Linked DNA regions of Elephas maximus indicus. The protein of the gene in region 1 interacts with the protein of each later gene in a pairwise test. Links are inferred from orthologs where the notes say so. Each region holds a gene or a part of one and is shown on either strand. Other genes may lie near its edges. The genes, in order: CEP76, PARD6B, SALL2 and C22H22orf39.

Region 1 (7,510 bases):
AAACAAACAGAAGTGTTAAATACAAACCCTTAATACTTAAAGAAAGCTAAACTTTTTCTAAACCTCATACAACATTTGGTTTATGAATGGTCATGAGCAGGTTTTTACAAGGAAGTGTAATTCACACAGCAGAAGCTGTTACTAGGTCATTTTTTAATAATAAATAGGTTTCTAAACCTCAAAAACTAAAAAAGGATGCTGTATTAAACACTTTATTCCTTCGTGTATTATAAAATCCATTCCAATTTTTACATCAGGTTATCCAGGTATTGAGGTCACAGCTTCTCATTATTGCCTCATTTTCAAAAGGCCTACTTACTAATTATGTACTGAGAGGCTATCACTCTGCTACTGACCTATTTGTAGGAAAAGATTTGAGGGCTCTTAAGCAGTCACACTATTTTCTTAAAGAAATTTATAATTTGTTAGTCATAGAAAATTCACTCCCCAAAAAATGCATTTATTTTAAAAATAAGCTCGTCAATCTAAAAAAAATTACACTATAATCTTAATGAAAAAGAACTCTGCTATGGTGACTAAGATGCACCTGACCTAAGCCATGATATTTTCAACAGGCTCATATGCATGTGAAAGCTGGACAATGAATACCGAAGACTGAAGAACTGATGCCTTTGAGTTATGGCAAAGAATACTAAATATACCATGGACTCCCAGAAGAATGAACAAGTCTGTCTTGGAAGAAATACAGCCAGAGTGCTCCCTGGAAGCCAGGAGGCAAGACTTCATCTCCTGTGCTTAGGACATGTTATCAGAAGGGACCAGTCCCTGCAGAAGGACATCATGCTTGGCAGACCAGAAGGTCAGCCAAAAAGAGGAAGACCTTCAGTGAGATGGACTGACACAGTGGCTGCAACAATGGGCTCAAACATATCAAAGATTATAAGGATGGCACAGGACCAGCATTTCATTCTGTTATACATAAGGTCGTTATGAGTCTGAACCAACTGGATGGCACCTAATAACATGATGAAGTAATGTGACTAAAATATGTGCATTTAAAATTGTAGACCTGGAGGATAACGAGAAAATTCTGTCAATATACAGACAGGAATGTGGAATCCCCTCCAATTTCACTGATATTATAGCAAATAATACTATTTGCTATATTCGTAGAGCTACCTTATACTTGAAAAAAAAAAATACTTGAAACTAGGGTATTACTAGACAAAAAGGTTTAAAGCGGTTTTATTAAAAGGAGGCCCCAAATATGCACCCTATAAACATTGTCAAGCATGAGAACAGACTTACACTGTCAACTTTTTTTCCCTAAATCATTACTCACAGTAACAAAATTCAGTTCCTTCATCACATCATCAATGATTCCTCTACGTCTAAGGGCTTTGATCAAATCTTCTGTTGATAACTGTTGTTGATCAGGTGCCAGTTCTTCACGTATAGTCTCAGCAAGGATTTCTCGTATTCTGCCGTGGACATCCATCTACGTAGAAAACTCACGTTACAATTTTTTTTCTCCTGAAGAGCACATGTATCAAAGCAGCCAAATATTACCAATTAACCAGTTTCTTTCTAAAATACTAAATCAAAGTAATAAAGAAAAAAACGGGGAACAATCAGAACAAAATTAAGGAGAATCTTGACACAACTTCAAAACCGTAACTAACGTCACTGATCAATCTGTGTGGAAATTGTCAAACGGGAACCTAACTTGCTGTGTAAACTTTCACCAAAAACACAATAAAATGTTATTAAAAAAAAAAATAACAGGGATGTTAGAGACTAAACTTAGGAAATTTGGGTTTCAGGCTTCTCCAGTTAATTGTAAACTTGTTACCACAATTCAGTGAAAACAAGGGCAAGTGGTTTCGTTGTTTTTAAGAAAAAAAAAAAAAGATGAAATTTTCAGTACAAATTTTTTAGAGTCTCTACTGGTCATCTGTTACTTTTTCCGCACAAACAAGACTCAAGTAAAATATGTATCTTTTAAAAAGAAATACAGTAACATCAAAAGAACCTGGAGTAGATAAATCAACGTTTGAATTTATTTTCAACTTATTAGAGGTGTAACCTCGTGCCAACTTATTTACCCTTCCTGAACCTGCTTCCTCGTCTATAACATGAGGAAAGTATTGCCCTCTCACAGGTTGGTGGTCAGGATTCGATGACAGATGCTCAACACCCAGCACAAAGCCTGGCGTACAAGTGCACAACACATGGCAGCTTTTATTAATATTTCAAATGCCCGGTTTTTTCAAATCAGCTTATTGCATTCAGTTGAGTGTCCCGAACATTCCGTGTTCTCCTGCTCCAAAGCATCACAAATATTTTTGTTACAGACTTTAGCGCCTTCTCTTCTATGACTTTTTGAGAACTGCTGGTTTAAGCTACCCGCTCAATTTCAACGGCACCCTCGTGTTTCACCCTTAAACCGATTCTGACTTTTCAAGTCTGAGTATAAACACGGGATCCAAGCGCAGGTTTGACTTCCTGCAGCGACTCGACGGACACTTCCTGTTCACCACGGTCCCCCAGAACCCGACCCGTCCGTCAGCGCAGCCCGGCACTCCCGCTTCCTCAGCGAGTCTCTGTCAGCGAGGCCAGAAAGCTCTCCTGGCTGCAAACCCAAGCCTCGCCCCTCCGACCTCTGCCCCTCCGACCTCTGCCCCTCCGACCTCTGCCCCTCCGACCTCTGCCGCTCCGACCTCTGCCCCTCCGACCTCTGCCGCTCCGACCTCTGCTCCCCCGACCTCTCCCGCTCCGACCTCTGCCGCTCCGACCTCTGCTCCCACGGCCCGGCCCGAACCCCGAGGACCGACACTGGCACGGAGGAGCCCGCGCGCCCTCACCTTGTTCAGCTGCTGGTGGATGAGCTGCTTCAGCTCCGAGGCTTTCTCCGCGGGCAGGGACATGTCGCCGGCCGCGCCTCGCCACCGCTCCTACCCGGCCTGGGAGTCCCAACGGCCGGCGTTCCGCCGAACCACTACCGCGACAGCGCCTCCGAACGACGACCGCGTCAGCTCCCCGCGCGCGCTCTAAGGCCGGACGGGGCGGGGCGGGGCGGGGCGGGGCGGGGCGGGGCGGGGCGGGGCGTCTGGGGCGGAGCCGGGGAGCGGAGCGGCGAGCCCCGGGGTGCCCCCAGCGCCGCCTGAGCGGCCGGGAGCGGGTGTCCCCGGGCCCCCGCAGCCTCCACACACCAGCCGATGAGCCTTTCCAGGGTCTCCGAACGTGTTGCCCTTCCGTTTCCCGTTCCCTCGCAGTTTCTTCCCGCCTTCCGCGCAGGCAGTTAAACTGGAAGGCCTCCGAGGACCTGGCGCCGAGGGGACGCAGGACCCCGCCGGCCCGGCCGCGTTCGAGTCCTGTCTGCTCCTTTCTCCGCGCGTTCCCGCTGTTCCCGCTCCGCGTTCCCGCCGCTCGGGCCGCAGGCAGGTCGACTTCGCCGCCGCCCCCGCTCTGTCCCTTCCTTCAGCCCCACGTTGCGGCCATGTTTGTGCCCTGCGTGGACCCGGCGCCCGAGCTCACGGGCTTCACCCTCTTGATGGTGGGTTCTCTGGCGAGTTCTCGGCGGCCCCGCAGGGCCACGGCCTCCGGAGGCGCCGGCGGCTTCATCCCCCGGGCTCGGGCCGCGCAGGGTCGGGGGAGAGAGGGGCCGTTTCTGTGCAGTTGTCAGCCCTCACTGAAGGGGCAGCAGAGGCTGTCTGTCGCGGGAGGCGGCGGTTCTCGAGAGCCTTCGTGGACCTGTGGGCTTGTGCGAGTCGGTAGTCCGTCTGTTAGCTGTGACACGAGCTGCTGGGCTGCGTGGGTTGTACAGGGTATCGTCCTCAAGTGTACCCTCAGAGGTCTTCCCAGCTACTTCTAGGTCGGTTTTAAGCTAGCAAAGTAATGCTGTTCTCCAGAGGTTCTCTCTGTTAAGAAACCATAAATGTAACCTTAAACCATGTCGTTTACTAGCTTGAATTTAAGCAAATGGGAGTTTACTGTAAAAGTATTAAAATCAGTGGTAGTAATAAAAGTCACTTTTTTGCCAGTAGCTAACACGGTTTTATCGCTTGTGCAGTTGGCCACGTTCATGCAGTGTTTCAGTAAACATTCTGGCACGTACGAATGTTAGGATAAGACTTGTCCACAGGAGTTCGTAGTCTACCTGGAAACGCGTCAGTGGACGAGGGCAGTGAGTGCTGGGGTGCAAGTTTGAAAAGATTGCTGACAGGCCCTAAGACTTGTGGGGAGGAGGAGTGGGCACAGGGCTTTTTCTTCAAATGCTTCCTAAAGAAATTAACGCCCAGAAAGTGAGGTATTGGGGGCTGGGGGGCAGGAATAGGGCATTTCAGGAAAATGGATGTCTACCCCAGAGACACACCGGCATGGGGGAGCTGGAGGATTTGGACTGGGAATGACTCATTGAGAGATAATAGGCTGCAGGCCTGTGAGCCCAAGAGACACCTTTGCAGAAGGCGCTGTTGGAAGTGGTGTATGGCTGAAGAGTGAACAGCCGTCCTTTTGTTCATTAAATATCAAGCACATGAAGCCAGAGAGGAGAGTGTTGAAAGAAGGAGAGAATACCTGTTTGTCACAAGTAGGCGAATGTGTAAGACGAGGAAGTGTGCGCTTGGGATTTAGCAACATGTGGGATGTGGGTGGTAACCTTTGCAAACAGTTCTCAGTGGAGAGGAAACCCATGCTGCAGCTTATGGAATGAGTTAGAGGATGTGGAGATTTGTATGTATTCGTTCAGCAATAAAATTCCTGCTCATGTTTCAGAGGACAAAGGTTAGAGGTATTGGCTTTGTGGGGACACAGAAATGAGATAGAGGGGCATGTGAGGACCAGGCAGGGCTGTAGTCTTTGTGGAAGCAGACTGCCACATTTTTCTCCCACGGGGTAGCTGGCAGGTTCAACGTACAGGAGAAAGAGTATAACCAAAGAAACAAAGTCTTGGAGAGGAAAAACGGAACTACTGGAGGTTGCCAGGGTTGATGACAGGTGTGAACAGTGGGAGACCACTGTGAGTGGCCCAGCAAAATAGGATGAAGGCCGGTAAAGAGCAATAGTTGGAAGTAACTCCATTAAAGAGATACTTTAGAGAAAGAATCAATGAAAATCAGTTATGTGTTAGATAGAGCTGGTAAGGGAAGAAGGTTCCTGTTTTAGGTGATCTGGTAAATGGTGTTGCTCTTTTCTGAAATACAAAATATGGGGACAGGTTTGGGCAGTTGTTTAGTTTTATACATGTTGAATGTGGGGTGCCTGTGGCATAACCATGTAGAGATATCCATTAGCTGCTAGAGCTCAAGTAAGTGTTCTCAGCTGTAGGCAGAGATTTCAGTTGGCTGTTTGAAGTCATGGGGATAAGTATGTGTGTGTTTAGTGTGAAAAGGTCACTCTAACCTTTAGATGTGGGCAAAGAAAGTGGTACAAGAAGACCCAAGATTGCTTTTGTACATACCTCACAACTTTCCCACTTCCTAGGATGTTCATTCCCAGGTTGTTGTATGCCTCTCTTCCTTACTCCTTCAGTTCCATAGTAGTCACTTTGCACCTGAAGTGAGTCTTCTTTGACACTCAATTTAAAATTACAAACAACTGCACACAGGGACATATACACTCACGTTATATCCCTTTTCTCTCTTTTATTTTTGCCCATAGTACTTACTACTATATATTTTACCTATTTATTTTGTTTATTGCGGGTAAACCACATCCTCACTAGAAAGGAAGCTCCACAAGGGCAGTAATTTTTTTTCTGATTTTTTTTTTTTTCCATCCCCAATGCCTAGAGCAGCGTTTGACACATAGTAGGTGCTCAGTAAATATTTGGTAAATGAATTGTGTGAAAGGTGGAGGAGGCCTCAGCTGACATCACAGTTATAGATAATGAAAGAGTCAGTATTTAGCTGTGATATACCCAAGCATAAGCGTTCAGTACTAGTACTATGATTATTATTTTCAGTCTAAATTTTAAAAGTGTTGCTAACATTTTATGACTTATCGAATATATCTTTTATGATTTCAGCCAGCAGTATCCGTTGGAAATGTTGGCCAGCTTGCAATAGATCTGATTATTTCCACGCTGAATATGTTTAAGGTTGGTTACTTTTATACCGATTGTCTTGTGCCCATGGTTGGAAACAATCCATATGCAACCACAGAAGAAAACGCAGCAGAACTCAGTATAAATGCTGAGGGTATGTACAACTTGCAGCATGTTTTATTCTACTACAGAGTTGTTTTAAATTAGAAATAGACTCACAGATACTGTTTTGAAGCAAATGTTTACTTAGTGCTGGTTTTGTGCTGTCAGTGAGTATTATGACCCAGTCACATTGCCCTGTTACATTCTGGCTTTAGGTCTTAGCCTTTTTTTGTAAATGGCAGCATTTATGAGGGGTGTAACTGTACTTGTGTCTTTAGATAGAATTTAAGATTTCCTTTTTTTCCCCCCAACATGAATTTTTTTCTCCTTCATCCTCAGTTTTATTTTCTGTTCTTACTGGCACGTGTAATCGTTATCACTCATACAAGGGAAATGTGGCAATGAGAATTCGCCTGGACTCAGTCCTAGTGTTTAAGATGTACTTCTCATCTAAGCCTCCAAGTCGTCTTGTTGCATTGTTATGGAATCCGTAATAAGCTGATTAGGTAGTAAGGCTTAGAGAGAGTGAGTTGCCAAATGCCACTTAGTAAGGGTGGGCTTTTCCTTTAGCATATGTTTCCAAAAGTCCTGATTTCCTCATTGGACATGTCAAGCACGGTTAATAGGGAACACTGTTCACATTGCACTGATGCTGTTGGGCGATTCTGTGAGATAGCACCATGGGAATCAGGGAAAGCTGTGGATCGTGAAGCACAGGAACTCCGTTACTTGGTTTGATGGCCAACTGCTCTATTGGCCTCTCGGTCTTCTGCTTACCATTTTGGGGTGAAAGCCAAAGGTAGTAGAGGAGCCTGAGGGGCCCAAGTGGATTAAAGAGCAGATGAAGAAGCATTTTGTTTTCTGTCAGTCTTATTAACCATGACATTATTCTAACTTTGCAATAAGGAAATGCAGTTTTGAGAAATAACTTTATTATTGAAATTCCTGCAGGGAAGATTAACATGAGATGAATTTCAGTTATTGCATTAAAGGATAAAAGATTTTAGTGAGAGGACTAGAATTCATATAATTTCCACTAATGATAACAGCTGTTTCTTACTGAGCATTTACTGTGAACTGAACACTGTATATTTACATGTATTAATTCATTTAGCCCTCACAGATACTCCATGAGGTAGTTTTATACATGAGGAGACGGTGGCAGAGAGATGATAAGTAAATTGTTCAAGGTCACGTGATTAATAATTGGTGTAGCTGAGTTTGAAATCAAGGCAGCCGGGCCTTGTGAGCTGCCTCTTCACCACGACACTGTCCTCTCCATGCTCGCTCACTCCAGTAAAAGATCCACTTCCTTTTCTCTGACACAGACTAGCAGCAAGTCAACTGTAGTGATAAAGTACTTCGATCCACTTTATTGTTTAAAATGAGGTATTTCAACTG
Region 2 (7,223 bases), on another chromosome or scaffold:
GGCTGCAACAATTGCAAGGATCGTGCAGGACTGGGCAGTGTTTCTTTAGTTCTGTCGTACACAAGGTTGCTGACTTGATGGCACCTAACAACAACATAATTAACAGTTAGGAAGTTTTATGGTTCAAACACTGTTCCAAGGTTGAAGGACATCATTGTGTTTGTTAAAAACTTTCCTAACTCTGGAGAAGCAATTAGGAAGATAAATCAGTTACCAAAGGAAAAAAATCACATGGCAGCACTATCACCAATCTCACCCTAGTGATTCTGCGCCGTCCGTTATTTTCTTATCTGCACCATTTTCTCTCTCCATGAGCGAAGATAATAAAGTTGAAGCTACTGTTTTCAATGCTGAAGAAAAAAATCCTAAAGCGTGGGTCTGCACACTACCAAGTTTTGTTTACCAGCTTAGTGATCAGTTTGTAAAAAGCTGAGATAGCACTAAAGCAGTGTAAAAGGAAATACTGTTTCGAAAATATGTCCAGATGACTAAATCTCTGATGACTAAGATGACAACTGCTTCATTTAACACATATTTAAAACATAAGGTGTCAGAGACATACTACATGTCCCTGTGTGCCATGCCGAGTTACCAGCAGCCAGAATAACAGTGGGACCACTTCATTCAGTGCCGGCTCTCAGGATGCCTTGATTCTGTTAAAGAGATCCGGCTCACTAAAGACGTGTACTATGGCAGGTCCGACACACAACATATAGTTTGGCCACAGTATATGAAAGATTCACAAATGAAGAGCAAAAAGCCTGAAGTTCCAGTTCCCAAGTGTTCAAAGTTTCCCAGTACCAGAAATAACTTTCATTGTAATTATCAGTGCACCTCGACTGAGCCCTACTATCAAATCCCTACTCATTTTTTCCTAAGATAAAAAACTAAAGACTCACCACCAAGATTAAGACCACAAATTGAATTTTAAGATTAGGCAGTATCACAAGTGCTTTTCTTTTCTTAACCTCAACTCCCACAAACCCAAACTACATTTATAACAAATCTGGGACGAGAAAGCCCAACCAATGGGCAGGGACACTACCACCACCAGACTGCTAGAGGAAAAGCTCTGCAGATTTTGAGTCATCTTAACCCTTTAGTTCAAGCAAGCCACTTCAATGTGCTACAACGGTTCCAAGGAGGACACAAGGAAGAACCTATTTCTTAAATTGCTTATAATTACAGAACGGTTCCTTAAACTAGTGCCTATCCTGATAGGTGAGTTCTTAAAGTCGCAAATAAAGTTTAAAAATGAACACATTTACATATTCTTGATGTGGTTCTCAGTTACAGCAACTTACAGAACTGTGTTTATCAGCCCTAGACAATAAAAACTATTCTACCCACAGGCTCCTGGAAACTTTCCTTAATTCCACTGCACTTCGCTCAAATGGCTTCTTGATTGTGCATTCTAACTAGTTTTACATTCAACGTGCTTCGTTATTTTTGAAGGTGATATGCTTTTATTTTTCTATTCTGTGTTCTGCTCTTCCCAACTGTATTCTAAATGTGCTCAGGGCCTAGCGAGTGAACTTTTTGTATTCTGCAGTGCCTGAAAGTGATTCTCTGAAACAGCTTTAATCAAGGCTTTACGGTTTTATCACAAAACCAGAGCTTGGGAAAGTCATAACCCTTCTGAGCCTCAGTCTTCTCATCTGTAAAACGAGAATGGGGCTAGATGATCTAAACTCCTTTCGGCTCTTCAATTCATGGAATGCTTGCTGAAAATGTTCCCGCAGCTGCCGATCACCTTCAAATTCCAGTTCAAAACCCCCTTTGGAAAGCATTCCTTAACTAATCCCTACAGACTGTCCTGCTCGCCCGGCCTTGCAATTTAGGAATTCAGTTGATACGGAGGTAATTATCCCCAGATTGGCATACCGTTCGTAGGTCAAGGGTGAAAGCACTTGATGTGAAAAGGTAGAACGACGGAATGAAAAGAGCATCCAGACTCAAACTGTAAAGTACCACTCAAACGTAAGGTGATAGTGCAAATTTTACAGATTAAATGCATACCAAAGTTAGTGCTAGAAAAATTCCTTGCAGGAAACATAGCTCACTTGAAAAGGGCTCTTTAGTACACTGGGCTCTTTCCTTTGCCACCGGATGATCCCCTGAGCCACGAAGGGGTAACTTTATATGACCATGGGATATTCCAAATAGCTTCTACTCGTCAACCCAGTACGCAGAATTTCCCCCAAACCTTTCCTCCCACACTGTACTCAAATGCCTCCGCATCCTCGGGTACAGATTGGGCCTCACTCTCATTCTGGAACAGGACTGAGACTAAGTGCTCCACTGGGTCGTCCTATCAGGGCCAGGAGCAGATACAAGCCCTCGCCCGTCCCCTTCTCAGCGAGTTTATTATCCGCCACCGCCTGTCTCCAAGTCCCACTACCCCGCACCCCGCCGTCCCAGGCACCGGGCAGCTCCCCAGGCGGTCCCTGCCGGGCCCCTCGCCTCCCCCGAGCCGCGTTCGCCGCCCTCCGCCCCCGGCTCTGGCCTCCCCGTGTCCCGGCCCCGGCCCCGCCGCTTCACCCTGCCGGGCCCCGCGCACCTTGCTCTTCACCTCCATGGTGCCCAGGTAGCCGCTGCCCGCCCCGTGCCGGTGGCTGCGGTTCATGCTGAGCGCCGAGCCCGCGGCGGCCTCCTCCGGCCGGGCCACCGCACAGGAGAGCGGGGAGCGAGTGCGCGGCGGGCGGGCTGGGGGGGCGGCTGTGGCCCGGAGCCTCCTCACTGGCACCTGCACAGGGGGCGGCGGCGGCTCCCGTCTTCGCCCTGAGCCCCGCTCTGCTGGCTCCTCACGCGGCGGGATCGAGGGTCGGACTGGCGGCGCGGAGGGCGGGGACGCGGCTCCCTCCCTCGGGCCTCGGCGGCGGCCGCGACGATGCAGGAGGAGGAGGAGGGGGCGGAGCAGAGGCGACGAGCGCCGCAGCCTCGCTCCCGGCAGCCTCCGCCGCGAGCCCGCGGGCGCGTCCCCGAGCCCAGTGCGCGCGCTCACCTGCAGCCTCCGAAAGGCTCTGCAGACCGCGCTCCGCCCACACCCAATGGGAAGCGCGCACCTGCGCCCGCGGCGCCAACCAATCGATACACGCCTCGCTCAGCTCGTGGGCGGGCCGCCTACTCGAAAATTCCGCCCACCGAGGCGTAATTGGTCCAGCGCTGCGAAGGAGGGGCGGGATCACCTGGAGCCGGGGGCCTCCCCTCTGGACTCAGCAGGAGAGCCGGGGGGCGCATGCGCAGGCCACGGAGTTTCCGCCCAGGGCAGGGAGGGTGCGAGAAGGCCGGCCGGAAGCGCGAGCGCACCTGGAGAAGGGCGACGGTGGGGGGCCTCCTGCGCACGCGCGGGTGCGCCGGAGCGCGCCTGGTTACTGAGGGCCCGCTGGGAGCTCGCGCCGCGGGACGCGCGCCGACTCCCCCGACTCGGGTGGTCGACCACGCTGAGGCTCCGCGGGGCCGCTAGCTTCCCGCCGGGCCTGCCCCGCCGCCAGTTTGGGTTGTCGCAGCTTCAAATCGACGCTCGGCCTCCTGTTTGCGTCTTTTAGGCGTCCAGATGCAACTCTTGGTTGCAAAAGCCAAGTTTTCCCGCCTCTGCAGGAGAGACTGGTGGTGAACCTCAGGGCCCTCGGGGCTGGGTCTTGTCGAACAGAGTTTCTGTGCCCTGCACCATTTTAAGTGCGTCAGGTCCCAGCACTGAATTGGCGCCGGGAAGGGAAGGAAGGTGGGCTCAAGTCCTAGGTGCTCTCTTCGGGCCCAGCCTCCGAGGGCTTTTCCTAGGCCGACCCTTCTGCGCTTTTTTTCGGTTTGTTTCTCTTTTTAACCTCTGAAGGCTCCCTTTTCCCACCTCAAGCCATTTCTTGGCCATTTTGCTGTTTCCCCAAATGACAGCGTCTGGCTTGTGTGTGTTTCCCGAGCAACGGAGCTGTGTCCCTGAGTAACGAAAGGCCGTATCCTTTTCTCTAAATGCACCAGAGCTGGGATTTTCCCAGGCAGACCCTGTTTAGCATTAGCCAGGCCGGGAAGGTGGGACCCTCTGAAAATTATGGCTGGAGAAGACCCCCTCCCCAAGTCTCCCCCTCACGAAGTTTTCCCCCTACGCAAGGGCTACCAAGGCCCGCCGTAGGATTGCTGCTTCTCGAAGGGCTGTTGAACTTCTTGTGAGCTAGAGTAGGGAACAGCCATGCCGCGACTTGTAGTCACAGCCCAATCTGGTGACAGACACAATGTGTGGTGTGTGTTCCTGAGACTGACAAATGTTAACCATGGAAGGCCAGGAAGAAAGATCAGGCAGGAACTCACAATTCAGTCCTTCTGGAACAGGGATTTCTAACCTGAGGTCAAGAAGAGGGTCTTGGGGAGCTGGCCTGGTTAGCATGCTTCATTCCAGCTGAGTCCTGGGGGCCTAACACATCTGCTCCTACCGCCCTATACCTCTTCTTCCCAGAGTTTGTGACAGTTTCAGCTTGCCTTTTTTTTTTTTTTAGATGCCTTTGAGTTTTTTAATGAGTAATCTTCTCCACCCTAAAATGAAAGCTCCCTAAAGGCAGGAACCACATCTGCTTTTCTCACTGTTGAGGGTATAGCACAATGCCTGACTCTAGCAGGTACTCAGATACATCTCTGCTGGGTGCTGGGGCTGAAGAAGTGTGGTTTCTGTATGCTAACTGCCCCACCTTGGTTTACAGGGTGAGAAAGAAGCCCGTCTTTCTTCATGGGAGGGTGGAGGTTCCAGTTGCGCAAAGTTTGTACAGAACTTAACGTTTTCATGGGCATTTCTGGGTGGAGGTACAGATGGAAAGGATACCATCCCAAGCTGAATAATAATAAGGCAGCCTTTTCACCCCCTTGTTCAAAAGTACCTACTATGTTACTCATATCTGTCCTATAGGGTCGCTATGAGTCGGAATCGGATGGCAGTGGGTTTTTTCATGTGATTCAAGCTGAGCTGGAAATAAAGATGTGATGTCACCATGGGGAAGCCTCAGGGCCTAAACTGTAACTCTCTTAACTGGACTAGTACAGCAGTTGTCAAACTTTTTGATCTCAAGACCCTTTATACACTTAAAAATTATGGAGGACCCCAAAATATTTTGTGTGTGTTACGTCTATCAATATTTGTTTTATTAGGATTAAAACAAGTATTTAAAACACAGGAATACAGAAGCACACAGTCCTGTAGTCATCAGAGTGTTGATGCACATGTCTTGTCCCTTCTGGAAAGCTCCATTGTGTGCTTGTGAGTCAATGGGGGATGACGAGAAGGGCAAATGACATCTTACAATTATGGAAATAATTTTGACCTTGTGAATCCCCAGAGAGATCTCAGGGACTTCCAAGGGTCCCTAGACCACACTTTGAGAACCACGGACTAGAAGCTACGTCACCACCTTGAGGGCTCTTCATTCACAGCATTCACCCTTCTCTCTCTATTTGGCAGGGCCTCGCCCTAAGAGCGGGGGGCCCTAGCTCTGTGTGGGCGATTGTTGGGTGGTTGAGTTTTATTACTGTTATCAGTACTGATTTATCAGGCCGTTTAAAAAGGAAGTCAGTAGATGCCAACGCACCTGCGTGGGCTCTGCATTCTTGGAGGTGTCGTCATGCCTCTCTCCCCTCCCCCGGGTGTGGTATCCCTCCTTACTTGGACTTTCCTTTCTAGAAGGAAGGGCCAGGCCAGAGTTTGCTCTGAGGTCTGCGTCACAAGTGCGCTTGGGTTGTGTAAAGGAGGAATGTGGAAAATAGTTTGAATTTGATAAAGGTGCTGTGAAGGAGGGGAGCCCGTTCATTCCTAGAGCTGGTATGTCCACAAGTTCATTCACAGGGCCTGAATTCCAGCCTTTCTTGGGAAACCCAGAGAAACAGCATAGAGAAGGGTTTATATTCCTGTTTACTATGGTTTGAGACTGACCCTAATCTTATTTCTCTCCATCATCCCTCCCCACCCCCAAATCCTCAAGCTAAAGCTGATCAAGACCTGTGTGTGGAATGAAAAGCTAGTCCCATGCCTGGGAGATTAATACTCAGTGGGTTAGGGAGATAAGTAAGGTGAGTGTGTGATGTTATGGACTGTAAATTATAGGTTCACAAAGTAGTTAGCTGGGAGTGGGCTATCAGAAATCACCTCACCCACATACCGTGAGGCTTCCCTGGCCCATCTCCACCCTCTGAATGAAGTTAGAGCGTTTTTACCCCTCTGCTTTATCTTCCCTTTAAATGCTTTCTGTCTTTAAGTTCTACAAATATCCTGTTGTGTTCATTTGAAACCTACACTGTGAAGTCTCAAGAGTTGTAATTTTCCACGATTAGTTTTAGTAATTCACATCTTACATAATACCTTTTTCATTCCTTCCTCTTCCAACGCTTAGAATTAAGGAGAGAGAGAGAGAGAGATGGCGAAAAGTCATATATCCTGTTGGTGAAATTTTTTTCAAGGAATTCCTCTTGCCAGCTCTTTTTCTCCTTGATTGCTCAAGCTCATTTTGATGGAGCTAGTTAATAATTCTTTGAGAAAGAGTTGAAGTGTATACTTAGAATCTCATACTACTCACCAAAGCATTTTAAGCCCTTTAGCAGAGGTGGAATTAAATCACATGATCTGTTTTCTCGTCAATACCTCATAATACTTTACTGCTTTGTGTGTGGGGCCTGGCTGGTGGTGCTCACAGCCACGGAAACTAATGAATTATCTCCTGATTGAAGAAGCTAAATGCACTTTCGGGTAAACCCTATCTTTATGAGAGGCAGTAGGTGCCGGGCTCTGTGCGTGTGTCTTACCCTTGACTTGGTTCAGCCACAGGTTTGCTTTCTGACCTTTTCCCTCCCTGAGACTCAATTTCTCTGTCTGTAAAGTACAGGCACTGGATGAGATCATCTCCATAAACCCTTCCAGCTCTTAACATTCTATGGTACCCCAGGGATAATGGAGATTGATCGTTATTTCAACATTACCAGGGATGAACTGAAATGAAAAGAGTAATCTTTCTGTCAAGGTCAACATGCAGGCTGCAGTATTCAACCAAAATATCCCAGTTCCTACAAGGTATTGATAAAGATGATGATAGCTAACATTTATGAGGGACTCACCAAGTGCCAGGAACTGGGCTAAGTACTTTTCCATGGATTATCTCATTTAATTTTCAGTAGTATGAAGGTTGTTTATATTTGGAGGCAGGCAGATTAATTTTTTTTTTTTAAGCTGATAAATGTTAACTTGAGGTCTTGCT
Region 3 (7,229 bases), on another chromosome or scaffold:
TCTGCAGCCACAAAGGGAAGCCCATAACAGAGGCAGACATTAACAGGATGGCAACCAAGTGTCACATGGTGGTAAAAAATAAATGCAGGCTGTCCAACTGGGCATTGCTGGGGTAAATTTCAACCCTGCATTTTAGCTATGAGACCCTAAGCAAGAAAGCTACTTTGCCTCTCTGCTCTATGGTTTCCTCATTCGTAAATTTGGGTGTTCTACATGTGTAGGTTCGGAATGAGTTAGAATCGGCTCAACGGCACACAACAACGTGTATAAGATAGGGGTTATAAAAAGCTTCCTTTGCAAAGTTGTTTTAGGATTAAATGAGATTATGTATTCAAAGGGCCTGGCACACAGAACGTGCTGCAGCTGTGATTATTGTCTTCAATGAAAACATTACATGCGTTTCTAGATTCCTGGTTCAGTTCTCTTGCCATTAAACCAAATTCCTTATATGATTCTAACTCATCAGAGGGTAGAGGAAATGCCTCCACAAGGTTTGCTCTTCTACATACAAACTAGAAAGACAGGAAGGCTAAGAGCAGAGTATTGTCATGAGAGAAAAGGTGTTGAATGAAATGCCAAAAAGTTTCCTGGACCCCCACATGACTATAATTGTATTTTAGGGCAAAAAACCACTATGCGTATAGAAGTACTTTTAAGTAGTTTTTTGAGATTAATACGTAAAAGTGTATTAATCTCAACAACATCAACAGACATTTAGCAAATAGTACATACATTTAAGAGACATGTTGTTTATTTGATCAACAGACAGGGCTTGGTTCATGGATACATGGATTCCCTTGCAACAACAAGGCAGTCTCCTAGGAATCTAGAGCCCATGGTTTAGAAACCACCAGTCAAGTGCAATTGTCTCAAATTGACTCTTCCGAGGAATCATTTTAAAAAATTTTTTTTAAATCTTAAATCCCAGCTCCATACCCACCCCCCACCCCCCACTCTCTGAGATTCAGATCCGGGGTGGAGCCCAGGAATGTGAATCGGTGGGTCTGGGAATTCAGATATAGAGGAGAATTCAGGGTTCTGAGAATTAGCATTCCTGACTGGATCTTTATCCTTTGTCTTGCAGGCATCTCATTCTAGTCACCTTCTCTTTGTTCCTCACAGTCCGGGGCTTCTTTAACAGTGGTGTTGTGCTAACATCACAAAACAATTTGTACTAAACTCTCTGAGATTCAAACATTATATCCAGTTTTTGTTAAAAAGCAACAACATAAAATTAAGCACTTAATTTTGTCACTGATGTACTTTAACATCCATTTTAACTAACTCAGAGACAACCTTTGCACACAAATGAAGGATACAGATACTGTGCTCAAGTGGTCTGGCTTAAAAATTGACTCCATGATGAAACACCTCAACAATACTTTAAGCTATATTGGGTCAATGGCCAATGGGGAAGCTGAAATAGAAAATGTTGGTAAAATTAAAAAATGTCATAAGAAGAAACCAGAAAAAAAGCCAGAAGGAAAAACCTATCTTCAACACCTGCTTTCCTCATCCAGAATATTCCCCCTGAAGCCACTCAGGCTCCCACATTTGAGAAGGAACTGGGGGTGGGGTGCCAGGATAAGTCCCTTTTTCCTATTCCTTTATTATCTCCAATGCCCTTGAGTGCCTCTTCAGCTTCCTGGGAATGTAAGCACTTAGTCTGCAAGGTCAAAAGACCACAGAACATTTTCCAAAAGATTAGATCACCAATTGAAGAAAGAAAAGTGTTATTTTAATATTCTCTTCTAGTATTAAGTTTAAGTCTGTCTCTCCCTCTCTCTTTCATTTCTCTCTCTTTCTTTCATTCTCTCTCTGATTTTCTCTCTCTCCCTTCTTTTCTCCTTTCCCTCCCTCTCTCTCCTTCCCCTCCCCTCTCCACTTCACCACACACAGAAACCCCTTTTCAAAGGGGCTTTTTTCCAACTCAGTGAAGTAAAGTCTTTGCCCCTTTGTGGGGAAGGCTCATTAACATTCTCACAGCAGCATCTCTTCAAGGATTTTACTTTTGTAACTCTGTGGTGAGGTCAAGAGGCCACAGTGGAGAGGTAAAAGGAAAAAAATGGTAAGCGGGAGAGGGCGGAAGAAAGGCGAGGAGGGGAAAGAGCCCTTCCTTTCACAATAAGCGCAGCAAGAAGGGAGAAAAAGTGGAAAAAGATGAAGACAACCAAGACCCAAGAAAGGGACAAATGCAGACCCCTAAATTTGCCCATGGAGATTTCATAGACTCCTGAGAAAAGGAGAAAGCTGTGCTCCTTCCTCCTTTCTGTTCCTCAAAAATGCAGGTAAATGACAGGACACAAGCTATTCCAGTGAGGAATTATAAGCTTTCCTGGCCTCAATGTCCCCAATTCTCCTACAATCCCCTAGTTCTAACCACATCTGTCTACCACAGAGTACTTACCAAGATGAATGAAACAATGTCAGCAACAAGAATTCCAAGAGTGGAATGAGAGGGAGCCACCCAGGGTCCTGACCCCAAAACACCGGGAAAATAATGAAGATTCAGGGAACTCCAAAGTGAAGATCAGAGAGCTTCCCAAAACTCTTCAGATGTGGGTACCTGCCTCATCTATCACCAGCAACCCAACTACCGTCGGTTGTCTTCCTCTCCTTTCTTAGTATTGCTAAATTAGCCAGGGTCTTTTTTTTTTTTTTTTTTTTTTATGTAAAGGAAAAAAAAAAAACAAAAAAAGAAATGAAGAAAACTATGAGTGAGTTTTGCTTTGCTTTTTTCTGAAGACAGTCAGCCACCAAATAAATTTATATCACTAAACTCCAAAAGAGAAAATAATTTCCCCTTTCCCAACTATAGGTATTTCATATGGTCTGTCATCTCAGAAGAGTAAAAGGTAAATAGGGCTAGTAGAAGGGAACCTAGGCATTATAGCTACAGGGTAGGGCACATCTGGAATATTCTATGCCCCATATCACAGAATTGCTCAAAGTCAGGTATGAACAGCACTTAAGTTAAAGAATAATAAATTAATTACCCTCAAGTGTCTAAGCAGGAAAGACCTAGTTGGTCGACAAATGGTACATTTTAGAGATGGAAGAATTTTTAAAGGTCTGGTTTCTTATCCACAAGGAAATCCTTTCCACAGCCTCCATGTGAACATATTACAGAGGGCTCACAAATTCACTAGAAAGTCCATCACACTATTAGAAAGTTCCTTTATGTAGAACAGAAAACATCTTCTTGTGGCTTGCATTCTGGAGTACGATGAAACTCATCTAGTTCATCTTCTCAGAGGCATTCCTTCAACCGTGGGAGCTGGATAGGGGAGTGAGAGAGATAGAAAATCCACTGATTCAATTCCTATTTTAAATAAGATTCCTTAAGATGAATCACCTTCCCCCCGCCCCACCCCACGCTACCAGTCTGATGGCATATTGTGTCTTCAGCAATATAGAGAAAAGAATGCTAGACTATCAGCTGCACCTGGGTTCCGGGACTGTCTCTGTTACTGCGTAGCTGTGCAACCTTGAATGGGTTACCTAACCCCACTGAGCCTTTGGTTCTTCTACAAATGGGATCATCTATAAATGGGAACAGTAAAAAAATCTGACGTACTAAACTCAGACTTGTAATATTCAAAATATGTCATGTGCATGAAAACATTCTGTAAATTATAAAGAGCTATGCATATATTGGTTATACATATATTATTATAATGACAGTCCATCCTCACTGAATCTTTTTGCCAACTTTTCATATTCCCGTTTTCAACTAGAAATAGTTGACTTCTTGGCCTCGTGATTAGGATATACCAAAAAGTTCTTATTTCAGCTTGTACCCCAGAAGCAGGCACATCATCAAACATGGGTCGGGGAGGTGGTGTGGAATTATGAAAAAACCAAAAAGCACTGTAAAGATCTTGGAAGAAGAGTTAGACAAGAGAGCAAAGGAAGGTCTCTGAGCAGACAGCACAGGGAGAGACCAGAGCCATCGCAGGGAGGAGAGGGTTAAATCCTTTCGTCTGCAGTACAAAAGAAAAGAGTGTGCGGAAAGATTAGGATTTTTGCTTTTACAATGGGAGCTGCAGAAGCGTAGGGAAGAAGCTGAAGAAAAAAAAGGGGGCGTCTCCCCTTTAAAGACTTGGAGAGATTGAGAGAGAAAGAGAGAGAGAGAGGGACAGGGAGTCAGAGAGTCTGTCTCTGGGAAGGGAGACCATCTCTGCTTCACAGTGATTGCACTGGAGGGGGGGAAGCATCAGTTGGCTTCAGACCCAAGGGGGAGAACGGGGCAGGTCACCCCGGTTGAGACTAAGTGAGCGTTGCCCCTCCCTCTCCCACCTCTCTCTGCCCGGGAATGTCTCGGCGAAAGCAGCGGAAACCCCAACAGTTAATCTCGGACTGCGAAGGTCCCAGCGCGTCTGAGAACGGTGGGTGCCTGGGGAGGGCTGGGGGAGCCTGAGTCCAAGGCTGTGTGGGTCAGGCCAGGGCAAGGGGAGGGCACCCGGGCCATGGGCGAAACCAGGAAGCGGGGGGCTTGGTCACTGGAGGCTTGAAGGAGTTGTTATGTGAGGGGTAAGGAGGTGACCTGTGCTGGGGAGAAGCCCTGATCAGCTTTTCTCGGGATTGATTCTGTTTGTGTTTTCCTTGTTGTTTTTCTCTGGATGAAATGGAGTTTTCGAACTGGCTCTATCTCCCCACCCCAGAGTTTTCTCCCCAGGTCCCCCTTTGCTCACTGGTCTTTGTGCCGTTGCTAAGTAACGTCCTCAGACCTGAAGACCTTCTCTTAGGGGTGGGATTTTCCCCCCTTTTCTTTCTGGAGAGTTGGGTTGCAAGAGAATGAATTGGATAAACGTGAAGTTTCCCCTGAGGGAGAAGAGAAAAAAGTTTCTCATTGTTGAGCTGAGCTGAGAGCGAATCAGAGCTCCCAGAGGGAGACAGCTCTTGTCGGTCGGAAGGTAGCCTGGTTTGGGGTGTGTATCCCAGTCACCTGGTGTAGATGCTGGAGGATGTGATGAAGATCTGGTTGAGGGGCTTGGGTTTGTGCTTCAAGGGAGGCCAGTTTAAAAAAAAAAGTATGTTAGTTAACATACTCTAACACACCCGTAAATACATGTGTATCATTTTATGAGGATATTAAAATCTGTTATTTAAGCAGATTTCCTTTATGGGGTACAGTTTTTTCGTGTATTCTTAAAAACTCCAATCTGAGAGGGGCAGACAATAGAGTAACTGCTGTACTAAGAAATGACATTGACCAATGTCTCAGAGGCAGGGCCTTGTCAGGACAAAAATCAAAGTTTCCTGATGCACAGGGGTATCAGGAGGGTGGTTTTCGCTATGTGTTTGGATTCCTCAAACTTGCTTGATTGTGAGTAGATTGTGGATAGAGTCTGGAAATCTATATCTTTTGCAAGAGTCCTGGTAATTCTTAGGCTCAAGCAAGTTTTGGGCACACTGGTCAACGGTGTGGCTACATATGCAGGCACCTGTGAAAGTCTGGAAGTCCTGGCTCAGGGATCAACGGTCTATTTAGCAAACAGTTGGTTTACCCAACAATGTTGTGTAGGGTTAAGCTGCAAGGGTTCTGAAGCCAAACTTAGGGTTCAAATTCTGGCACCACTGCTTAACTGTGCCAAATTGAAATGAGTAAAACACTTAGAAAAGTACCTAGCCTAAGTAAGTAGTTAATGTGTGGGTACTGTTATTATCATGCTACTGTGAGTGCAGTGGCTCCTCCTACAAGTTCGGAAATATGACCAAAGTTCAGGAACACTGGGTGAACGCCAGCTCAGCATTTCTTTATGAGATGTGTGCCATGAAAGAGCTCCAGGATAACGTATCTTTAGTAACTGAAACTTGTTGGAAAAAAAAAAAGAAAGACTTGAGGTCAAATCAGCGCTCCATGGATTATGAAACAACCTTAACAGATTGTGTTTTGGGTAGAACACGTCCTCCCCAAGTTACTGCTCTGCTGGGATCCCACTGTGCCCATATTCAGAGGTTCTATTGGTGGCATCCTTCCCTCCAGGGACACATTAGCCCTCCTTGATGCTGCTACAGGCCGGATGTTTCCTCCTTGTGCTCTACAGGAGACTTCCCCCAGAGCCTCAGAGTCGCCTCACAATCCTGCTCCCCTGCTGGCTCACTGTGGAACAATGCTGAACCCTCTGAGGAATCCTCTCCTCTCCTTCTCACTTCTCCCAAGTCTGTTCACCCATTCCCCATACCACAGCTGAGGAAAAATCTGTGAGAGAAAGGGTCAACAGAAGTCTTTAGCGATTACCCTGAATGAGTTCTCAAATCCATTGAGCTATATCTCCCACTTGGAGCTATAAATACTTAGGTGCATGGCGATGCTGTGGCAAAACCATCCCCATCGAAAGAGTACAGGCTTGAACCCAATGGCAGTAACAAATTTCAGTAGAAGCTTTGCCTTTGAGCCATAAAAGGCAGAAACATGAATGTAAGGAGCTAGAAAGCTATAGTAACTTCTCTTAAGATCTGTCTTAACAAAGCCTGTTTCCTCATCAGAATTTCCCTGAGAGGGAATGATCCTGGGCTACTTGCATGGCCTCGAGTGTCATTGGCTGTCATCTGTAAGAAGAGTTTGTTATATTTGATCATATCTAAAATTCCTTCCTGCTTTTATAAGTTTAACATTTGCACAGACAAGGTCTCAATTTGCTTTTGTGATCTTCAGTCTCCTGACTTTTCATTCTACCCCAGAGATGTGTTTGCTTGTTCTGCATGCCCTTAAATTAGGTATGCAGGACTCTTCTTTGGAGGAACACTGCATCCTTTGGTATATCTGTGAAATTATGACCCTCAGCACACATTATTTAGTAGGCTAGGGTGCCACTAGTATTTCCAAGAGTGTTTTGCCTTTTTTTTTTTTTTTTTTCAATTTTTATTGTGCTTTAAGTGAAAGTTTACAAATCAAGTCAGCCTCTCTTACAAAAATTTATATACACCTTGCTATATACTCCTAGTTGCTCCCCCCTTAATAAGACAGCACAATGCTTCTCTCCACTCCCTATTTTTGTGTCCATTCAGCCAGCTTCTGCCCCCCGCCCCCGCCCTCTCATCTCCCCTCCAGACAGGAGCTGCCCACATAGTCTCATGTGTCTTCTTGATCCAAGAAGCTCACTCCTCACCAGTATCATTTTCTACCCCATAGTGAGCCTTTTGCCTTCTTTCAAGCAATGTTTACTATACATGGGTAGGTTTCTGGGAAGCACAAGTGGGCTTACACTTGGCTCCTAACCTAA
Region 4 (7,983 bases), on another chromosome or scaffold:
AAGTGGGAACTGACTTAATAGACCATGGAAAGCTGAATCGCAAAAAGGCTGTGGGGAAAGAAGTAAAGCAATTTGGTTTAGATTATAGCGTCCTCCAAAGGCACCTCTAGAAATGGGATCTAAAAACAAGGTGTCTGTTAAATAGTTAGAACCACAACATTCTTCCCCAACCTTGCTGTGCAGGAGAAAGCTGGAGGAAAAGGTATAATGGGAGATCTCCAGATTTGGGTAATCAGGCACAGTGGTTAGCAGAACTGAACTAGAAGAATGAATAAGTGACAGCCTGCATGCTGAGTGTTGATGCCCTTCGCGCTCTTCCCCTCTTAGCTCCTGGACACTGCAGCCAGGTGCACTTATGGATTTGGGAGGCTGGAGGAGCTTTCTGGGGCCAGTCTGATGCGCCCAGGAAAAGGACCTCAAGATAGTGATAAAGTAGGGTTCCTTTTGGAACTGTCCCAGCCAGCTCACCCCAGTGAAGACCAGTAAAAAAATTTCCACTGCCAACATCCAAATAGAGTTCTAGAAAGGGAAAACAGAGAAATCATCAGGGAAGCAATTTCCCTGAACCAGAGGGCAGGCTTTTGCTGCTCGGAAGGGTCCCTGAGTGCTCAGCATGGGTGAAAATGGCCCTATTGGGGCAGGGGAGCCACTCCTGAAGAGGTTTCACGCAGATTGAGAATGGCATCTGCCTCTTAGTAGGACACAGAAATCTAGAAGATTCTGAGGGGAAATTTTTCCAACCTAACATTCTGTACCCACCAACCCATCAGTGAAGTGTGAGAGTATAAAAAAGATATTTTAAGACACCTTAAGATCTCATAAAAAGATACTCCTTGTGCTGCCTTTCTCAGTAGGGTGCTGGAGGATGTACCCCATTAAGATAAAGAAATAAGAAAGGCACAGAATCCAGAAAACAGGGAGTCCCCACTGCCATGTGCAGTGCTAGAGAATGGCCAGTGCAGGTTAGGCTGGCCAAAGGCCTCAGGATCCTGCTGGAATACTGCTGTGATTGAACAGATGGAGTAGAGAGAAGCCAAACACCATTGTTGACACCAGGAAAACTGGAAGGTTGTGCAGGAAAGGAAGACTAAACAACTGGGCTATGGCTCACATTTACAGAATTAGAACAAGCGAAGTGCTGTATTTGGATGGGGAGGGGACAGAATGAGTGTTGGGGTGCAGGTAGTCAGGGTATGCATTGGAGAGAGCAGAACCCTCTTCTTCCGGAGAGAAAAGTCAATAGGTAATGTGTAAGACTAGCAATAAAAGCATGTGAAAATGGGTCATTGTGCCAAGATACCTGCTGTTTTCAAAGGATCAGAATAATAAGTCCCCTCTGCTGGTAGGAGAATAGCTTAGTAGAATGTTTTTGAGTGCTGATTAGTCAGTATATATTAAAATCCTTGAAAATATGTATACCCGTTTACCCAAGAATTCCATCTAGGAATCCACCCCACTTCTAGGAAGAGCCAGGTCTGTGTACAGACCCATGAGGCTGCTCACCACAGCGATTTAAAATACAGAAAGCCTGGGCATGAGGGGGCCACGCAGTGATATAAGACTGGTTCACACGTGATGGGAGTCTGTGTAGACTTTAGAAGGTATTAGATAAGAAACTACAGTTTATATAGTCATAGACCGAAAAGTGACTGGAAAGCCTTTTTTAGGGTAGTGGCCTAGTGGTTAAGAGCTTGGCTGCTAACCAAAAGGTTGGCAGTTCGATTCCACCGGGCACTCCTTGGAAACCCTATGGGGCAGTTCTACTCTGTCCTACGTGGTTGCTGTGAGTCAGAATCAACTTAATGGCAACAGGGTTTAGAGTGATTTTTATTTTCTTGGTGTATCCTATGTTTTCTTTACATTGGAAATGTAGTGCTTTTGTAAAACGATACACTTTTAACCTGAGAATAAAGGCTGTGGCAGACTCATAGTGATTCTTTGGTGTTCTCAATGTAGTGAACTATGACTTGTATTTATATTTAAAATATTTTTCATTATGAGTAACGGGAAAGAAAAATGACTGGATGGTACAGGAGTCAACAGAATAGAACATTATTATAAATTTCCAAGGACTTTCTGAAAACGGTATTTTCTTTGCACACCTAGGATGAAGCTGGAGGCAGATTCGTTGCATTTTCTGGAGAAGGACAGTCATTGCGTAAAAAGGGAAGAAAGCCATAAGTCGGGGCTGTTGCCTGATTGGAAAATAAAATAATTGATTGCAACGTATTGGCTTTTAGTTACTGGCTCTGACAAGGATGAGACTATTGCCAGAAAACGCTCTGTTACTTAAGGTTTGTTTAGAGTTACCTAGAATTATCAAGTTGGAGCTGGAAGAGCAACAGCAGGACTTCATAGTTGTGTGCTTAATATTGGGAAAGAGAAAGCTGCCTCTGAGGTCCAGTAGTCGGTCACCTCCTTGCCAGTCTATGCTCAGCCCTCGGGGCTGCCACTGGCTCAGTGGGACCAGCGTTCCCTCATTCCTGATAAAGCCAGTGGAGGGATTGCCTTGCTCTAACTTGAGATGTTCTTTTTTTTTTTCTATGTAGCCTTTCTTTTTTGTTCCAGGTCCATTGCTTAAGATATTGCTTTTGGCCTAGAATATCTGCTACCCTGGCTGCAATTTATATATTTGAGAAAGGCTGTTTCTATTTTTATTTTACATATTGATTTTTTTTTTTTTTTTTTTTAAGTACCATTCCTCAGAAGGAAAACCTGATTTGAACAAAGTACCCACTTTTATTTTGGTTTCATGTGGAAGTAACTTTGGCTCCTGAATGAACCTGTTCTATAGAAAAATAACTTCATGTTGAAGCACAAATGTGAATATTATTATAAACAATAAAGGTATGCTCTTTTCCCTTCTCCCCCATCCTCACTCCCAATTTTACTGTATTAAATTATCCACAGCTCTGCTGGTCTGTCTTTATTTTTTATTAGTATTAATTTGGTCTGAGATCTTCACCTTCTATAATGTGAGATCTTTTGACATGCTAATCTAACTATTTTAATCTATTCCTTGAAAATAATTCTAAATGAAGAATTTAAAATAAAAACAGGCAATGATTAAAACCTGGACTGTCTCTAATGTAAATGTTTATAACAACGTGATTGGTGGCTGGGTCACTGACTAGGAAGGGGAGGAAGGCCTGCCGACGAGTGCCCCACTTTCCATCCTGCCTTTAGAAAAGTGCCCCTCTGGGGTTTCTTCTGGATAATGGAGAGAGAGAGGAGGCTCTGTGACCCTGGGGGTAGGGATGGTGAGGCCCAGCAGGGTCCCTTCTGTGTGCCAGGGCTTATCATGCTTATAGGCTGAAGCCTGACTTTGACAGGGCTTCTCCAACACTCAGAAGAGAAAAAGATGACCCCTCCAGGGTGGTAGCCTCAGGATCTATCCAGGTATCCTCAGAGAGAACTTGCATCAACAAATGTCAGTGACCAGGGCTTGGACCCATGGCCCAAATGGTCACCACAGAGGTCAGGACCAGTGGTGATGGATGTGGTTTTGGAAGACATGAATTATTGCGGTGACCTACCTGAAGAAAAAGAAAAAAAGAATTTTTTTTTTTTTTTCTGACCTACCTGACCCTCCATTAAAAGAGCCTCCGTTTCCCTAGCAGACATGGGCGCCTTCTTTGGTGGATTGGCAGCCACCATCTGCAGGATTAGATTGGCTAACAAATTGTAATTATATGCATAATGAAGAATGTTAACAGTAAGCCATAGGCCTTGGCTTTTGTCATCTATAAGTAACACCTATTGTGTATGCAGTGAAACTCCATCTGGCTCTTGGCTGGTAGTGTGGAGAACACTGCCCTTCCTGGGCCAGGGGGTAGACCCAGTTGTTGGGCCTTCTGATGGAAGCATTAAGGATATACACAGTGGGGTCATCTGGATTAGAAGTCAAGGTCATTTACTGCACCCTGGCCTATTTTTTTTTTTTTTTTTTTGGCCTATAGTCTTCCTAGACAGTGTTCCTCCAAGCTTGGGCCATGGGTCAGCCACCTCAGTGGTGGGCCCATTGGTAAAACTGGTGGCTTTCTGGGCCCCTCCTCCAGTGAGTCTGACCTACTCTTACTCCTGGGGTGGCTCCAGCAACCTAGCTCTAAGGGACTCCCCAGCAAATGATTCTATCAGCAGAAGCTGGAGAACCACCACATCCAGATACGAGGTATTGCAGAGAGTTGGTGGAGGCCCACTGGCTTCTTTATTGCCTCTTTGCACCTCCCCTGTTTGTAAACGTTGTCTCTGCGTGGCTTCAAAACAGCCTACAATCTTATCAGACATAAAAGCTCCTCCAGGTTTGTACGGCTCTGCTTCTCACTCCGTGCTAGACACAGACTCCCTGAGTTTGATTAGGCTGTTGCTATGCTCAGAGCGCTCAGCCCCGGTTCCCTCCACGAAGTTACTCTGTGCCCTAAGCCCCCTTCACCTCCTCCCCCATACTATGCTGAGCTAACCCAGGTTATTTTGTGACTTCACCTCAGTCCTCTTGACTGGATGCGAAGGGTGAGACCACTGCTGTCCCAGAACCTGGTGGTTCCTGACACGGGGTTGATGTTCACTATTTGCTTAGGAAAATTAACCGGGCATTTGAGATTCCTGAAAATATTGAAGCTGTTGAAACTAACCGGCCTGAATCGTGCGGCTTCATAAACAGTCAACTTAACGTGGTTGGCTGCAGCCTGGGACACCCACCGACACCAGGCGGGCAGCTGCAGTCATCACTCCCGCCCACCTCCAGCCGCTGCGGTAACACTAGGTCCGGGGCCAGACTTCCTGCCCCTGTAGAGGATACCTGACCGCCTCTCCCCGGCCCCGCCCGCGCGCACCACAGCCCCAGGCTTTTATTGGCTGCCCAATGCGGACCTCCTGTTTATTGGCCCCTCTTTAGGAGGTTAGAACCCGCCATATCTAGGAATTCATTGGTTCTTTTATTTGCCAATCGTGTGGCTGCCGACTTTATTCAGTTTTCATTGGTTGACGGGTTAAGAAGGCGGGGTTTGGTGGTTTTGCTTAGACATGGCCGACGGCGGCGGGAACTGGCGGGTAAGCGTGGTCTGTGACCCGAATCCGTAGCGGCCTCGTCGGACCAGGCGACCATATTAACCGAACCCTCACTGGGCTGGGTGGGACGGGGTCGGGGGATGGGCAGCACAGCGGCCTCTGGGGTGGGGCGTGCCTCCGGCAGCTCTCAGGCGTCGCCTCTCGCCGCAGCCGCCCCGACCCTGCGAAGCCTACCGCGCCGAGTGGAAACTCTGCCGCAGCGCAAGGCACCTTCTGCATCACTATTACGTCCACGGCGAGCGGCCGGCCTGCGACCAGTGGCTCCGCGACCTGGCCAGCTGCCACGAGTGGGAGAAACGCCGCAGCGCCGAGGCCCAGGTACCCTGGGGAGGCCAGCGGGGACACGTTGCCAGGATGTCGGGGTAGAGAGCAAGCATGCGGGCAGGCGCGCGTCCTGCGGATATGTGTAGAGCCCCCTGCATGTGCCAAGCCCTCCCCTCGACCCAGGCTCCGGTGACCCTGTGGAGAGGAGGCCTACTGGGCCCTTCCCCTCCTTAAGCTTCCCTTCTTTTGAGAAATGCCAAAAACAGGTATATCAACTGGACTTTCAGACGGTGTTAAGGACAATGAAGGAGACAAGTTAGGAGGAGTTGTAGAGTGACTTGGAGAGGGAGGAGGGGCCACCTGCAAGTGTTGGGGCCATCAGCAGGCCTTCAGAGGAGGCCATATTGCTGAATCCTGAATGACCTGGAGCTAGCGTTCACCCAGCCCTAGGTGACAAGACTGAGGAACAGAAAGAAGGCCATGGTGCTTGGAGCGGAGGGAGGGAGGGCTGTGGAGGGTAGAGGATGAGGGTGGAGAGCTACCAGGGACCTGATGTGTCTTGATAAAGAATTTAGATTCTGTTCTGGAGGTTGTTCTAGTTGTGCATTCATTCAGCAGATATTTATCACTGGCTTACTTCATGGCAGGTGTTCTTGGGGTTAGCGGAGTGAAGAGAACAGCCACTGCCCCCCTGGCACCCACACTCTAGTGGTGCCTCAGGCCAGTGGTGGGAGTGTGGATGGAGAGAAGGGGTGAGGGTGCAGTGCTTATGGGGAGTGCCTAGGGGAAGGGGAGCCAGCAGGACTGGGGACAGCTTCAACTTTGTTAAGTGTACGTGATTATTTTGGAACAGACAAGCTGATGTGGAAACCAAGGTGCTATTTAACAGGAAGCGATGACAAATCCATAATAAGTGAAAGAAAACTGGGAAAGATAGTTTGCAGTCTATATGGCAAGAGATTGACAACTTAATAGGTATAAAAAAGGAGCTGTTATATATCGAAAGGAAAAGTGGGGATGATTTCAGTATAGAAAAGTGGACAAAGGGCATGAAGAAGCAGTTCATGAAAAAAGAAAGCCAAATGGCCAGACACACAAGTTAAAAGGACAGTAGCAGTGTTTTTTGCCCAGTGGAATGTAGAAGTGTTGGTAGCGGTTTGGAGAGTCAGGAGTACTTGCGCATTGTTCCTGGGCGTCTCAACTGGAACACCCTCTCTGGAGGACAGTTAATCTGACTAAATAGGTTAAAAGCATAACTTTTGGCTCCAGTTTTACTTCTGGAAGTCTGTTCTAGGGAAAGAGTTGGACAACAGTGCACAGTTAAAAGCTTAAAGTGCTCACTGTGCCATTGTTTGTGATTGTGCAAAAACTGAAACCAACCTAATTCCACTAGTAGACATTTGACTACATAAGTACTCCTACATGGCGGAGTGCCATGTAGCCTTTAAACACAGGATAGTAATATACTGTGGTGTGGAAAATTACCTACAGTGTATCATTTAGTGAAAAAAAAGCAGGAAATACAGCAACCAACAGAGTATTATTCCACCCTTAGAGAAACACAGGATTACTCTAAAATTTGGGCATAGAAAGGTGTAGGGAAGCTGTTAACTGTCACCTGAGATGGAGGCCTGGGAGCCTTTCACACCCTACTTTGTGCTTCTGTTTTCTAAACAAGAACAAAAGCATTCTATCTGAGACAATAGGGCTTGAGGGGAGAGACAAGTAGGCAGGTGGAGAAGATGAACTTCTATGTGTAAAGAGCGTAGTGCCTGGCACATGCCAGGGGCCCACTTTGTGTGACAGCACTGCCCTTGTGCTTGTTTTTGAGAGAGAGTGGATGAAGAGAAGCTCCCACGTGTGGAGTGGGACCTGTTGTGCGCATCTGTGCCCAGTGACCTGTTGCCTGATTCCTTCCCTAACCTTCCAAGGAGTTCTGGGGATGTCTCTTATCTCATCTTTCTTTGTTCAGCCAATTGCTCCTCTCGGCAGGTTCCCACAGCCACTCTTTCAGACTTTTTTATCTTCTCACAGTTCAACGTCTCCAGTTTCTGTCTTTGCAGGTGAACCTGCCCCACGTTCACTAGGTGAACCGAAGCCAGGGAGCCTTGAGGCCCAGGAGATGTTTTAAATTTTATTCAAATGATGGTGATTTACACAGTAGTTTTTACAGTGGCTTGTGAAAAAGAATGATCTAGATGTATGTGTGCTAATATGGAACAATTGCGAAGACATGTTAGGTGGAAGCAACCATACTGCAGAACAGTATGCATGCTACACTCTTGTTTCTCTATCTGTGTTTGGAAGGGTGCTGAGGAGCAGGGAAATACAGGGGCCACGTGAGGGCACTCAGGCCCACTGAGGCCCAGCCATGAGGCAGAAGTGACTGGGGTCTCATTTACACAGCAATCCCTCTGTGAGAGCGAGCGGGCCCGAGTCCAGGCTGCACGGAAGCACGCCCTGGTGTGGTCCCTGAGGCGGAGCCCCCCTGCAGACTGGCACCTCCCTCTGCCCCAGGATGAGAAAGACGAGTGAGGAGTGGTCCTGCTCGCCACCTCTCCAGCTGCCTCCGCCTGTCTAAAATGGACCTGTCTTGCGACCTAAGGACTATGACTGGCCCGTCATAGTGGGTCCCTGCGAGCTCCACCTGGC

What was found.
Region 2: the proteins of CEP76 (region 1) and PARD6B interact in binary tests that used the Homo sapiens proteins (3 or more experiments, as listed by UniProt). The two-hybrid records come from large-scale screens. The link is inferred for Elephas maximus indicus from reciprocal best matches to the Homo sapiens genes CEP76 and PARD6B.
Region 3: the proteins of CEP76 (region 1) and SALL2 interact in binary tests that used the Homo sapiens proteins (3 or more experiments, as listed by UniProt). The two-hybrid records come from large-scale screens. The link is inferred for Elephas maximus indicus from reciprocal best matches to the Homo sapiens genes CEP76 and SALL2.
Region 4: the proteins of CEP76 (region 1) and C22H22orf39 interact in binary tests that used the Homo sapiens proteins (3 or more experiments, as listed by UniProt). The two-hybrid records come from large-scale screens. The link is inferred for Elephas maximus indicus from reciprocal best matches to the Homo sapiens genes CEP76 and C22orf39.

The regions. Positions count from the first base shown.
Region 1 is NC_064829.1:9,168,968-9,176,477, reverse strand, and holds the start of CEP76 (centrosomal protein of 76 kDa), read right to left. Parts: upstream 3,019-7,510; 5' UTR 2,889-3,018; coding exon 2,826-2,888; intron 1,460-2,825; coding exon 1,304-1,459; intron 1-1,303. Other genes in the region: PSMG2 (proteasome assembly chaperone 2), read left to right, coding at 3,461-3,517, 5,990-6,161. UniProt on the Homo sapiens protein: Centrosomal protein involved in regulation of centriole duplication. Required to limit centriole duplication to once per cell cycle by preventing centriole reduplication.
Region 2 is NC_064843.1:18,919,210-18,926,432, forward strand, and holds the start of PARD6B (partitioning defective 6 homolog beta), read right to left. Parts: upstream 3,001-7,223; 5' UTR 2,627-3,000; coding exon 2,561-2,626; intron 1-2,560. UniProt on the Homo sapiens protein: Adapter protein involved in asymmetrical cell division and cell polarization processes. Probably involved in formation of epithelial tight junctions.
Region 3 is NC_064828.1:31,885,465-31,892,693, reverse strand, and holds the start of SALL2 (sal-like protein 2), read left to right. Parts: upstream 1-4,210; 5' UTR 4,211-4,315; coding exon 4,316-4,388; intron 4,389-7,229. UniProt on the Homo sapiens protein: Probable transcription factor that plays a role in eye development before, during, and after optic fissure closure.
Region 4 is NC_064840.1:32,679,428-32,687,410, reverse strand, and holds the start of C22H22orf39 (UPF0545 protein C22orf39 homolog), read left to right. Parts: upstream 1-4,981; 5' UTR 4,982-5,022; coding exon 5,023-5,049; intron 5,050-5,217; coding exon 5,218-5,385; intron 5,386-7,737; coding exon 7,738-7,866; 3' UTR 7,867-7,983. Other genes in the region: UFD1 (ubiquitin recognition factor in ER-associated degradation protein 1), read left to right, coding at 2,107-2,181. UniProt on the Homo sapiens protein: Negatively regulates long-term potentiation and modulates adult synaptic plasticity. Stabilizes the interaction of RTN4 isoform A/Nogo-A with its receptors, inhibiting clustering of postsynaptic AMPA receptors at synaptic sites.